2 linked regions of the Astyanax mexicanus genome follow. The protein of the gene in region 1 interacts with the protein of each later gene in a pairwise test. Links are inferred from orthologs where the notes say so. Each region holds a gene or a part of one and is shown on either strand. Other genes may lie near its edges.

Region 1 (7,158 bases):
CTCTTTGGTTATCTCTCTCTCTATTATTCTCTGTTTTTATTGCTGTTTGATTTTTCTCTTTCGTCTGTTTCCCCTGTTCCTTTATGCCCTCTTGTTCTCTCTTTTTCTTCTTGACGTTTTTCTTTTCTCTCTGTGTTCTTATCTTTGTGTCGGTGTCTCTTTCTTTTCTCTTTTTTATGTTTCTAACTCTTTCTTCTTGTTCGCTCTGTCTGTTTTTCTCTTGTTCTAACTTACATACTCACTTCCCTCTCTCTCTCGCTCTCTCTCTCACACACACTCTCTCTCTCTCTTTCTTCCTCTCTTTCTTTTTCTCTTTCCCTCCTTCTCTCTCTTTGTCGTTCTGTCGGTGGTGTATTGTTTGACCTGGAGTGCCTTTAGAACTTCACTTCCTGTGAACTGCAGGTCTAAATGAGTCACTGCGCTCAGATGCGTGGGTGTGTGTGTGAGTGAATGTGTGTGTGAGAGAGAGAGTGTGTGTGAGTGTGTTTCTATAAGTGTGTGTGTGTGTGTGTGTGTGTGTAAGAGTGTACGTGTGTGTGTGTGTGTAAGAGTGTACGTGTGTGTGTGAGAGTGAATGTGTCTGTGAGTGTTGTGTGTGTGTAAGATTGTGTGTGTGTGTGTGTGTGTGTATGTGAGAGTGTGTGTGTGTGTTTCTGTAAGATTGTGTGTGTGTGTGTGTGTGTGTGTATGTGAGAGTGTGTGTGTGTGTTTCTGTAAGATTGTGTGTGTGTTTGTGTTCTCAGTGCCGAAGTGAGGTTTACTGTAAACGTTAATTCCGCCTGTTTCGCAAAATTGATACAAATATTTCCAATATCAGCAAATCTGATCTCTTTTACTTCCTAAATGATTGTTCTGTGAAGTCTTTCAGTAATGAGATATTCAGTATCCATTATGAATGTATCCAGTGTCTAGTATAAAACAATCCGTATCCATTATAGATTACTCAGTAATTACTATGAATTACTATGAATTCACAAGGAACTATTCAGTTACCACTATGAAGTATTCACTATCCATTATGAACTATTCTGTATTCATTATGAATTTCTCACTATCTACTACAAATTATTTAACAAAATATTTAGGATCCACTAGGATTTTTTTAGTGTATGATAAGTACTATGCAGTATTTACTATAAACTATTTAGTATTTTATAGTATTTACATATTTTTCAGTATGACTTTATTAAGTATAATTTTAAGATTAAGTATCCAGTATGACATGTTCAGTATTAACCATAGATTATTTAGTATCCAGTTTAAAATGCTCAGCATTCATTATGAATTATTCAGTATCAACCATAGATAATTGTGTATCCAGTATGAAATGTTCAGTATTCACTACAAATTAAGTATCCAGTTTAAAATGTTCAGGATTCATTACATTTTTTGTATCAACTATAGATTATTCAATATCCAGTATGAAATGTTCAGTATTTACAACAAATCTTACAGTATCAATTATGAATTATTTGGTATCCAGTATGAAAAGTTCAGTATCCACTGTAATTGTTTTGTATCAACTATAGATTATTCAGTATTCAGTATGAAATGTTTAGTATTCACAACAAATTTTACAGTATCAACTAAAGATTGAGTATTCAGTATGAAATGTTCAGTATTTACTAAACATTTTACAGTATCAACTATAGCTTATTCAATATTCAGTTTATGTTCAGTATTTATTACAAATAGGCAAAACCATTTTGTGGAAATATCTGAGAGGTCAAACGTTACAGAATTCTCCTAAATTTGCCGTAAATGTTTGGACACTTCAGGATGTGAATCAATCACTAGTCAGTAAAGGTGAATCTACTGTCTGTGTGTCTCAGAGATTAAGATGAGTGAAGATGAGTAGTGTGAAGATGAGCAGTTTGAAGATGAGCAGTGTGAAGATGAGCAGTTTGAAGATGAGCAGTGAGAGATACATGATCAGAGAAAACCCTGCAGAAACCACAGAGCAGCACAGGCTCAGCCCATGTGACCACACTGCCCCTCTGCGGCTGACCGCGAGTATTACAGCCGATCAGGTGTGTACAGTAATAAAGTAAATATAATGGCTTCCTATATTTAAGTAATTTAAGTAAAATATTTACTGATGTATTTCTTTTTGTGACTTTTTATTGTGGGGTTCAGCCCAATTCTGGTAGTTGAAACTACTTTCATTCTTTTAATCATTACAAAGTTTTTATAGGAGACAGTCACACGGGTTAGATATAATTATGTTTAGGAGAACCTACACTACTTAAATATATCTTCAATTGAGATGTAAATATTAACAGAATTTAAGTATCTGTGTGAATTTGAAAACGTTTTGAAGAAAAAAATCTTTTGAAGGAGTGCCAGGTTTGCTGTTTTTCACAATTGATTTTTCACAGAAGCTTCAACAAACTGCAGTAAAGAATGAGGTGGAAAGAGGAAGAGTCATATAGAGTGAGGGTACAGTGAGAAAGAGTGAGGTATAGTGAGGGTAGAATAAGAGTAGAGTGGGATACAGTGATGTAGAGTTAGAGTAGGGTGAGGTAAATAACAGAGCAGCAATGCCTCTTTCTACCTGAAGACAGAGCTCTTAAAGTAGCACTTCCTCCCCTAACACCTCTATCAAACTAACTACTTCTAACCTAAGTTCCTGCTCTCCCTCCTTTGCTCTTCTAATTCCATTTGGTCTACTTTAGGTCCTTTAAAAATGTTTTTTTTTTCCTTTAAATTCTATGTCCTCTATTGCTAAATGTACATCATGAATCCACTAAATATAATGTTATGTAATGTAACTCCTTCCTACCTGCACTCACTCCTGAAGGATTACGTTACCTACCGGCCGCTGAGCTCCTCCTCCAATGCCTCGCTTTACCAAACAAAAATTCACACAAAGCAATCCAGACTGTTCTCATACAGAGTTCCCCAATGGTGGAACAAACTACCTTCTACTACCAGATCAGGAGAATCTCTCACTATCTTTAATAAACTCCTGAAGACAGAGCTCTTCAAAGAGCACTTACTCTCCTAACACCTCTAACACACTAACTACTAACCTCATTTCCTTCTTCCCATCCTCTACTCCTCTATCCAATTATTCCCTTTGATCTCCTTTAGGCCCTATCTAAAGATGTTTGTACCTTTAACTTCTATTACTTTTGTACTTCACTATTGTAGGTCCCTTTGGACAAAAGCGTCTGCAAAATTTAATGTTATGTAATGTAAAGGTAGAGTGAGCATAGAGTGTGGAAGAGTGACGGGATCGGGACGGTCGGGAGGTAGAATGCCCTCAATAACGTTTTGCATTCCCCAAAAAGTGTGCTCTTGCATACATCTTGTATGGGTTCCCTCGCAAAAAAAAAAGGGCCTCCACAAATGTTTACATTCCCTTACAAAACAATTGTATTTACCTAGTTTTAAATTCCCTTGCCAAAAAATGTGTTCCCTCCAAAACGTTTTACATTCTGTTCCAAAAAAAATTGTATTGTCTTGCAAACTTTGTTTTAAAAGTTTTTAATCCTCTCACAAAAAAAGGTTTAGGTTTGCCGTTGGAAAAATAACTGGATAGACTGGTAAAAACATTCAAAAGATAAATGTTATATTTATCTGGATTTAGTGAGAATATTGATCAGATGTAATCCATTTTAACTCTGTTTATGTGAATGTTGATTAAATATTTATATAATGTTAGTATTGTTTACTACGCCTACTTCACATTTTTTATTGCCTCATTGTAAAAAAAATATTATTGAGCCAAATTGAGGTGAATCTGTTGTATTATCTGTTGTATCTGTTGTATCTGTTGTATCGGTCCAGTGTATTAGTTTTGTGCCCCCTTGGGAACATTAACTGCCCACCCCTCGTTTAGGGACCATGTAGAAAAATAACTGGATAGATGCTTCCCCCTAAAAAAACAATACGAATATAAACACAACATTCAGCAGATAAATGTTATTTTTTCTGGATTCTCTTATCTGCATATATTGATAAGATTTAATCCATTATAATCCGGTTTAATTATCTGTATGTATCCGATATCCCCATATTCCGCACGATTCCTCTTTAAGAATTATGTAAACAAAGACTCCTCCAGCGTAACGGAGCGCCGGATTTCCAGCGTAGTGCTATTACCGAACGCTCCTGCGCCCGGCCCTCGCCCGGCAGCGCGTGCGTCAGCTGCGTAAGTGCAGCGCTGTATGTGGACATATGCACGCATGCTCTTTGTGAAGGGGGAGTGAGAGAAGAGCATGAATGGAGCAAAATGGCGGATCATGTGCAGGTAAGCAAAGCTTTTTATTAGTGTGGGCTGAAAGCAGGGCTGTTCGGCTCGGTTTGGGTCAGATCTCCGCGCGCGTGCTCCGGTTCTGTGGGCTGTGCTGGCCCGGTTCGGGTGTGCTGTGCTGGGTGCGGTGGTGGTGATGATCAGCAGGAGCAGTGTGTTGACTTGGCCCTGTCATGCTGATGATGTGCTGTTCGTGCTTATTTACGTTGGGCTTGGGTGCAAACTTGTGCATGCGTGCGTTTTTGGCGCAGGGATTGCGCCTTTTAGCGTGTTTTAAAAGCACGTGCATGGACTCAGTTAGATTATTGCATGCAATGCAATTTAGTTCAGTGCAGTGCACTGAAATCGCTCCCAGTGTGCTCCCAGCGTTACAGTGTAAACAAGGCGCATCCTCCTCCTGCAGCGCGTGCGATTCCCAGACAGTACAAAAATCATTTTCTCAACCTTCACGTTCATTTTGTCATCACTAATGAACTGTTGATTCAACTTTGTGCATTTTTTTTTTTGTTTTATAACATTTGGTAAAAATCATTTTGAGTAACTTACATCTTATACAGAAGCCCCCCAAACCATTCAAAAGCCTGTAAACATAACTAGCTTACATGGCTACACGTTGAGTAAACGTCCGACTTTGTAAAACACCAATCTAGCTGATAACCCTAATAGCTAAGTGTAACAAGCAGTGTTGATAGCGGTTGTTTAATTTATTTTTAACGTAATTCCAACGCTGAAAGCTCTTGAAATTGAACCTTTATTCAATGTTATTTGCTAGCTTAGCGGTAGCTAACCTAACGCTGTCTATCAGGGCTGGGTCTGCTAGCTTAGCTTAAACTGTAGCTAAATAAGTTACCCTCTTTTTAAAAGCCCACACTTTGGAGGGAACGCCCTAAATGCGAAAAACAAGTTTATATTCATAATAATAAATTATAATTTACTCGTGTTGGTGCTTTATTACTATTAGATTTTATATTCAAGCTTAGCTAAGCTGATCTAGCACCTGCACTGCTGATAGGTTAGCCATGTTAGCTAGCATTAGATAAGCTAGATAACGGCCTTGCATTGCTTAGCTTAGCTCGGCTTAGCTTAGCTTTGTTTTGCTTATTTCTTACTATTCAATTCAATACAATATAGGTTAGCTTGTTAGCTTAGCTTAGCCAGTATTAGCTTACCTTATGTTAGTTTGAGTACGCTAGCATTTGTTGGAGATAGTTAGATACCTGGCTAGCTAGCTAAGCCAGTTAGCTGGCTTAACCTAGTTGTTTAACTGTTAAATGTATTTAACTGTTGTAAACGTGTGTGTTTAATGTTATCTCGCTAGCTAGCCATATAGTCCTGTGTTGGGGCTTAGTTAGCTACAGTTAGCTAGCAAAGTTATCCTGCTAAAATGGTAAATCCAGTTAGCTTGTTCCGGGTCCTGAAAGTAGCTAAAATCCATCCCAGGATTGTGCTCCAACTGCATGGACAGCTACAGTACAGCAGAGCTATCCGCGCTGTTTACAGAAAGTCCCGGGATGGATTTTAAGCCTCTTTCTGGATCTGGAGTTGCCACTGCTGTCCGCTAGCTCTGTCATTTCTCCCGCGCTGTATTGTGAAAGCAAAAGCACAGCAAATATGCTACAAACTGATTTAAAACACATTTATTTAGTTAATTTTAGTACAGATTTTAGTCAGTAATTACATTTTAACAGCAAATATTAGCTGTGTTTGAACAGAATGAGCACCGGGCTCTGTTTAAAGCTAGCTAGCGTTAGCGGTTGCTAGCTAAGCAGGAGCACATAGGACCCGGTTAACGTTAGCTATGCTAGCTTGCTTTAAGGTGAGCTTATACTTTTTATTATTCATAAAAAATAGTGTACTATTGATTTGAGATGTACAGTTTAATTTACTTATTTGAATATTAGTTGATTTAGCTAAGTTTAGTTTAGCAACTAAGCTCAGATTAGCCCCAGTTAGCTAGCTAACTAGCTAAATTCTTTTGACAACTGCAGTTAGCTGACGTTAGCTCTGTAGGATTAGCTCTACTTTGGCAAGCTAATGTTAAGAAGTGAACACGAATGCACCTATTTAGCTATTTCACATTTTTATTTAAGTGTTAATATAACTAAATTCAACTTTTTAAATCCAGATTTAATAAAAAATACACCTTAAAAATACACCTTTCCTTAGTTTAACTAAGTCATTGGGCATTGCTTGGGATGCTGAGAATGTACACTGATGTATTGTGTACTTAAATTATTACTAAATACATTATTTGCATTTAAGGTAGAAAAATAATATACTTTAATATAGACTTTAATATTTACCAATTTGAGTGTTTTACAAATTATTGTACCTTTTATGTGACCGTATATCTGTGATCCATGATTTGTCTGAACAGTTTCTTTCCTAATGAATGTGCAGAAACATTGAGTTACATCATTTCTTAGAAATTCCTTGAAACACAAATTCCTTTAAAAGTGAAGAAAATTACTTATTGTACCTTTTTAATATGATCTATATCTTTGTGATCTATATCTGTGTGATCTATCATTTGTCAACAGTCTCTCTTTTAATAATGCACAAAAACTTTGAGCTACGTTATTTCTTTGAAATTCCATGAAACACAGATTCCTTTAAAAGAAAAGAAAACAACTTATTCTACCATTTAATGTTATCTATATCTGTGTGATCTATCATTTGTCTGAGCAAATTCTCTTCTAATAATCCCAAAAACATTGTTGCGTCATTTTCTTTAGAAATTTCTTGAAACACATTCATTTAAAAACAGAGTGGTTGCGATATATTTTAGGGGCTGGATTTTTTTTTTGTTCTAGAGATGTGCTGAAATAGAAATTTAGTTTGAAATCCAATAAAATTAAGCACTTAACTAATGGCCAGATATTTTTTACCATTGCATGATC
Region 2 (7,225 bases), on another chromosome or scaffold:
ATCTACTTAAAGGTAAAACACACATGAAACATTTTTTCATATACAGCTACATTAATTCAGGCGTTAAAGGGTTAAGAGACAAGAAATTCAAGTAATTAACTCTTGATGAGTTCAGCACAGCTGTTAACTGAAAGCCTGAATTCCAGGTGACTCTACCTCATAAAACTGACTGAGAAAATCCAGCAGAGATGTTCAAAACTGATCATCTAAACAAGAGGAGCTACTTGTAAGAATCTAAAATATAAATATATATTCTGGTTTGTTTGGATGAGTTTAGTATTAATCTACAATGCTTCTTCTGTTATATTTGTTCAGATACAGTATATTGTTTTTTTAACGTATATTAGTTAAATATATTATCATCAATATTTAAAACACATACACTTCACTATATTTCACCACGACAGGACGGTTAAATGCATTTCCTGTGACACAGCTAAGACAAGACTGGGATATCAGCTGGTATCAGCTAGTCTTTATCTCAGAATTGATTAGGAGAGATAATCTATACACAGTGCGCTCTGTGTGTACGGAGGCGGAGTTATTGGCGTATTGATTATGGCATGACTGGCTAAAATATTGGTGACGTTTTTTTTGTATGTTAATAAACATGCAAGTAAAGACAACAAGCTACTGGATACTGATCTGAGTAAAAAATCACAGAGGTCATGTCCTTTCATTATACAATAATATAAGTATTGTAAAAAGACAATGGTCTTAAAGTTCCTACAACTGCAGGAGGAAATAAGAAAACAAGCTGTTAGCTATACTATGACTAGCTATGACTGGAATGAGCTTCAGGACATTAAACTGAAATATTTACTGAGCTGTTCTGAATTACACCTCACAGCTCAACAGGACAGAATACAATAAAAAAAATATTAAAATAGAATAGAATTACTTAATTGATCCTTAACTAAACTGCAGAAAGACAACGATCATCTTCCCTTGGTGAGTTGATGTACACACCATAATATATTCCTTATAAGTTTCTCACTTTATTAAAACACTTTCACTTTCATTATATAATAAACTCACTCATTATTCAACTACCAACTTCTATAATAACGTCACTAACATATAAAGTATATAAATATATATACTACAAATGATTGTTGACGACCTCTGTTATAAATGCTCATGTTTCTTTACTTTTATACTGTTATTTGCGTGAGACTGACGGTAATTGGAGGAACTGCATAGTAAGAATTACATTATACTAGGTGTGTAACTGCTTGTTTTTGCTGTGCATATGAAAATATAACTCTTAAATCTTACTTCTAAATCTGTTTATTTCTAAAAACATCAGTTTTTTTTATATTACCTTCTTGGCTTTGTTTCCTTTTTTATAATCTCGTATTAATTCAATCTTAACCTGAGCATTATACATCATTTATACTTAATATTACTTTCTTTTAATGTTTATTAGCTGCTTATTTTTCAGTGGTGGCACTGACTTACTTTACTTTTGCTTCTATTAGTTTCAGAAGATATTTTTGTTTTATTTAAGATGTTTACAATTAATAAAAAGAGTTTAAAGCTGTGAAGAGTCTATGTAAGGACCAAAAATACAAAAACATTTAATTTAATTTATTTTATACATCTGGTCGAAGGTAAGATATAAGGTATATACCGTAAACATTATATTTGTTTGTAAAGTTATAGTTAAAAATGTGTATATCGGTTATCGCCACCGGCCTATAATTTTCCATATCAGTGCCTCCTTATTAAATACTGTTTTTTTGTTTTATTTATATATCTTTTTCAATTCCTTTTGTCATAAATAAAGTTAGACTGATTTTGGTTCATAAACCCACACGGGTATCATACATACATTCAATCTAGAATATATGGCCTTTATGGAGAATGTGTACATGATATTATATATATACAACTAGCTACACACTAGCTAACTGATTAATAATACAGATAAAATCTGATTATTCTGACACTTTGACTCTCAGCACACTCTGTAATAATATCAGTATCAGTATAATCTAAATTATCGTGATATTACTGTTGATGTAGTGCTGTTGATCAGCCCTGTGTTATTATAGTATAATAATATCAGCAGTTAAATGATATTAAGTGAATATTAAAGCTATAATCTGATAAATCTGACAGTTTAACTGGGTGTAGTGTGTGATAATCAGACAGTAACAGTGCTGTGTGATATTTATACTGTGGACTAGAGTGTAAGGTTTGAAGTTTAGAGGTTTATAAAGGATCTAAACTCAGATTTTAACTCTTATTTACTGATAAACACACACACAGCCCTGTTAGCAATAGCATTAGCTTTAGCATTAGCATTAGCTCACGGTGTCGGCTCCGGAGGGCTGCGGGCCGGCGGGCTGTCCCCCCATCACCCCGCGGAAGAAGTTCATGGTGTGGGCTGGTGCTCCGCTCCTCCTGCGCTGGGTTAACCGGGTTTAGAGCCGGTTCGGTTCGGTAATCCCCGCTGGTTCCGGTGGTTCCGCTGCTCGAGCTCCTGATCAGCTGCGGAGCTGTTTCCTACAGCACGCTGCTGCGCATGCGCGGAGACGTGGCGCTACGTGGCTGGACGGCGCGCAAGCGCGGAGCTCTTAAAGGAACAGCAGGTAAAACAACACAATCCTAGCTCACCTGGTCAGCTCCTGACCAGTAAAACTACTAGTTTTAATGTCAAAACTGCATACGTACAGTACATACAGAGGCTTGAACAATATTTACCGTCATTACCGTCTGGTTTAGGAACCACAACACCTCAAGACCGCAAGACCCTACAGCGGATATTGAGGACATCTGAGAAGATCATCAGAGTCTTTCTAACCTGAATCTCAGAGATCTACACCACACGCTGCATCCGCAAAGCCACCAGCATTGTGGACGGCCCCACCCATCCCTCAGACAGACTCTTCGCTCTGATGCCGTCCGGCAGAAGATAAAGGAGCATCCGAGCCTCCACTACTAGACTCTGCAACAGCTTCATCCACCAGGCAGTCAGACTCCTCAACACACAGAGACAGAGCTGAACCCCCACCCCACCCACCACACACCCAAAACACTCAAACAAAACTGAACTGATCCCCCCACCACCCTTTACACACACAAAGACTGTACTTCACACACACACACACACACACACTAACTCTCACTCTCTCAGCAAACAGAGATGGAAAGGTCTCTATTCCTATCAGCAATATTTGCTGCTACTCTCAAAAACTATAAACTCTCTACCTCAGTAACTGCTGTGATTATATATGTTCTATATGTTACAGTATGTTTACATATCGCTGCACCTTATCCTCACTATTATACCATATCAGTACTGCACTGTCCTGTCTTTTAAATTGTCTCGTATTTTGTATTTATTGTAATTTTACAGTCTTTACAGTCATTACACCTTGCACTGTATGTTGGTTATTGTTTGTTGTCCCATGTTGCACCATGGTTCCAGACAAACGTAATTTAATTACACTGTGTACCTGAACTCATATGTAATGACAATAAAAACTTGACTTGACTTGAAATGGTGTTACTCTCCTAGCCAAACCAGCAACCAGTCAGCCAGTATTACCATAGTGGCTGATGACCATGAACATCATGAGCATGTTGGTTGACCACAGTTGGGCAGCATGACCTGCTTGACCTTGTTTGACTAATCTCACAAAACTTGTTGACCAACATGAGCATCACAAAAAAAAATGACCCAGCTAGCTGGCCAGCATGATCAAGCTGGTTGGTCTCATTAGTAACCTGACCAGGCTATTCCACCAGTATGGGCAACATATAACCAATGTATAACCTAACAAACCACACCATGACCAACCTGACCAAACTAGACAATCCATATGACCACCATGACAAAACCTGTTGGCATGAATGACCTGACCAAATCAGTCATCTGGTATAACCAGGCTGCAAAACCACACCAATCAATCATGGCCAGCCTGACCAAGCTATTCAACCAGTAGGACCAAACCAATTGATGAGCATGAGCAGCACCACTCACCAGATCAATGTAACCAGTATGGTTGACAACAACTGAACCTGAACCGTCTGAAACGGAACTAATATAATTATTTAGGCACTATTTTTTGCTTTTTTCACTACACCCTGCAGCATGTAAACAGGTTTTATTTCCAGAGTTTTCTTAGAACTCTGGTAAAACAGTGTTTCAGATAAACAGTTTCAGATATCAGGCAGTACATTTATAACTGTAATAACTGTCTCGGGGGGGGGGGGGGGGGGGCTGGAATCTGGATAACTGTATTTACATCTAAACTTTATTTAAATAGAGAATTTTGAGAAGTGGGTGGAATGCCCCTTTAGGGAATGTGAATAACGCAGCGTGTAGAGCCGCTATTGTCAGGCGCTGTTTGGTATTCAGCCCACAGGGTGTCTAATCTTCTCCCACAATGATCCCATCCGTCTCTCTCACACACACACACACACGTATACACACACACACTTATACACACAAACACACACACACACACACACCGTGTTTGTTAGGCTGGACAGGCCCTCACATTATTATTAAATGACTGATCTGTGGTTGTTTGCAAGAAAACTGAAGAATCTAAGAAAGAAAACAGTATTTTAGCCCCACCCATTCAGTTTAGTCCCATCCATTCAGACTCCAGCACTTTAGCCCTATGGTATAATAGCCCCACCCATTCATTCTACAGAAGTTTAGTTTCGACCCCCCATTTAGCCTACAGCAGTTTAGCTCCTCCCATTCTAGTCCCACATATTTAGCCTTGAGTATTTTAGCCCCTTCCATTCAGCCTACAGTATTTGAGCTCCTCCCATTTAGCCTACAGCAGTTTAACCCCTCCCATTTAGAGAACACTATTTTAGCTCCACCCATTCATCCTACAGTATTTTAGCTCCACCCATTCATCCTACACTATTTTAGCTCCACCCATTCATCCTACAGTATTTTAGCTCCTCCCATTTAGTGAACACTATTTTTGCTCCACCCATTCATCCTACAGTATTTTAGCTCCTCCTATTCAGCGAACACTATTTTAGCTCCACCCATTCATCCTACAGTATTTTAGCTCCTCCCATTCAGCTAACACTATTTTAGCTTCACCCACTCATTCTACAGTATTTTAGTTCCTTCTATTCAGTGAACACTATTTTAGCTCCACCCATTCATCCTACAGTATTTTAGCTCCTCCCATTTAGCCTACAGCAGTGTAGCTTCTCCCATTCTAGTCCCACATATTTAGCCTACGGCAGTTTAGCTCCTCCCATTCAGCATATAGCAGTTTAACTCCTCCCATTCAGCATATACTATTTTAGCTCCACCCATTCATCCTACAGTATTTTAGCTCCTCCCATTCAGCCTACAGCAGTTTAACCCCTCCCATTCAGCGAAATGTTTGCCCCACCCAGCTTCTCCCAATTAGCCTACAGCAGTTTAGCTCCTCCCAATTAGCCTACAGCAGTATAGCTCCTCCCATTCAGCCTACAGCAGTTTAGCTCCTCCCATTTAGTTCAGTTCCACTCATTAAGCCTAGAGTATTTTAGCTCCACCCATATCAGTCTTAAAGGGGCGGTCAGACAATTACTGTTGGCTGTGTTTGGTTTATAAACCCACACAGATGCTGTAATTAGAGCTTTTTGAAGAAGTTTAAATGTATTTTAACATCACAATTTCACATATCTGTGATTTTTAATAATATTAAAGTTCAGCTCAGTCCTTCACACAGTTCACTGTGTGTCCAGCCCAGCTGCAGTGGTCAGTTACACACTGCACTTACACACCTCTAATAAACACCTACTGTCTCACCTGAGTGTGTAATCTCCTGCTAAACCCTCTCAGATCTCACACTCACAGTACTCTTCTTCAGCCGAACCCACAAGGGGGAGGAGCTACGGTGTGATTATGTTAATGACACAGCACTGGGAAGGAGTCAGAGTGTGTGTGAGTGTGTTAGAGAGTGTGTTAGAGTGTGTGTGAGTGTGTTAGAGAGTCTGTTAGAAAGTGTCAGAGAGTGTGAGAGTGTATCTCCAGCATGGCCGTCTGTCTGACTGCGGGTCTCACCCTGGTCCTCCTTCTGCTGTACCCAGCAATCAGCTCAGGTAACCCTAAAAAAATGCAATACCACACACACACACACACACACACACAGAACAGTTAACTGCTAAATGTGAATTATTCGCACAAACATGTTTGCATAATTTACATAACAACTGCTTCTGTCTAAAATAAAAAAAAACATTCTACAGTAAACCTGTTTATATAATCACATTACATTTATAATCACAATCAGAAATCAGACTTAGAATAAATAAATAGAATTATAACCACACAAAATATGTAGCTAATTGTATGTTTGTATTTTACTGTAGTGGTGTTTAAATGAGCAGTTCTAATCCTGAGTTCTGATACTGTATTTTGCTTTGTATTTGATTCGTATTAATACTGCTGAACGTTTAATAGTAAGTCTTAAATACAATTTAACTTCATATTCTAAATTGTAAATCAGAACTGATTACTGTACTAAGTCTGATTTCAAACTGCTTCAGACAGTTTTTGGTGAATACATTTGTTATTTATGAACCCGAATTATAATTTTACGTCTGTTATTAATTGTATTAACTGTGCTTAACTATAAAACATTAATTCTGAAAACTCAAAATTCTGGTTCTGAATTCAAATTCTGATTGTGATTACAACTCTGACCATGAATTCTGATTGTAAATTCTGATTCCATGTCATATTTCAACACCATGTTATCCATGTTATCTATACGACATATAATATAGTAGTTTCTGTCATAGATACTTTAAAATGTGGGTGTGGTCTTATTTTCTTTTCCTTTAAATGATAAACCATTGCTTTTAATCTGATTATAGAAATAACACATTTTTCAGGTTGAATTTAAGTTGCAAGTGGCAATTCTGGGCATGAATTCTATTTCTGATTGTAAATTCTGATTTGATATTTGTGATTCTTCATTATAATTCTATATCTAAAGATTGATTGTGCTTAAAATTCAGATTCTGAATTCAAAATTGTCTTTCTCAACTTGGATTGCGATTACAATTCTGGTGATGAATTTTATTATTATTATTATTATTATTATTATTATTTACTCTGACTGTGATTATATTCAGGTTCACTGTATAGCTTTTTTGGAAAGAGTAATTAGGTAAAACCTGTACTGTTTATTTTTAAATGTAAAAAAAATGCTTCCTAATATCACCTGTGAATGTACAGAAGAAATGT

Evidence for each region. The genes of interacting proteins can lie anywhere in the genome.
Region 2: the proteins of xpo7 (region 1) and uso1 interact in binary tests that used the Homo sapiens proteins (3 or more experiments, as listed by UniProt). The two-hybrid records come from large-scale screens. The link is inferred for Astyanax mexicanus from reciprocal best matches to the Homo sapiens genes XPO7 and USO1.

The regions. Positions count from the first base shown.
Region 1 is NC_064427.1:21,556,048-21,563,205, forward strand, and holds the start of xpo7 (exportin-7), read left to right. Parts: upstream 1-4,148; 5' UTR 4,149-4,237; coding exon 4,238-4,255; intron 4,256-7,158.
Region 2 is NC_064414.1:56,335,965-56,343,189, forward strand, and holds the start of uso1 (general vesicular transport factor p115), read right to left. Parts: upstream 3,003-7,225; 5' UTR 2,385-3,002; coding exon 2,319-2,384; intron 1-2,318. UniProt on the Homo sapiens protein: General vesicular transport factor required for intercisternal transport in the Golgi stack; it is required for transcytotic fusion and/or subsequent binding of the vesicles to the target membrane.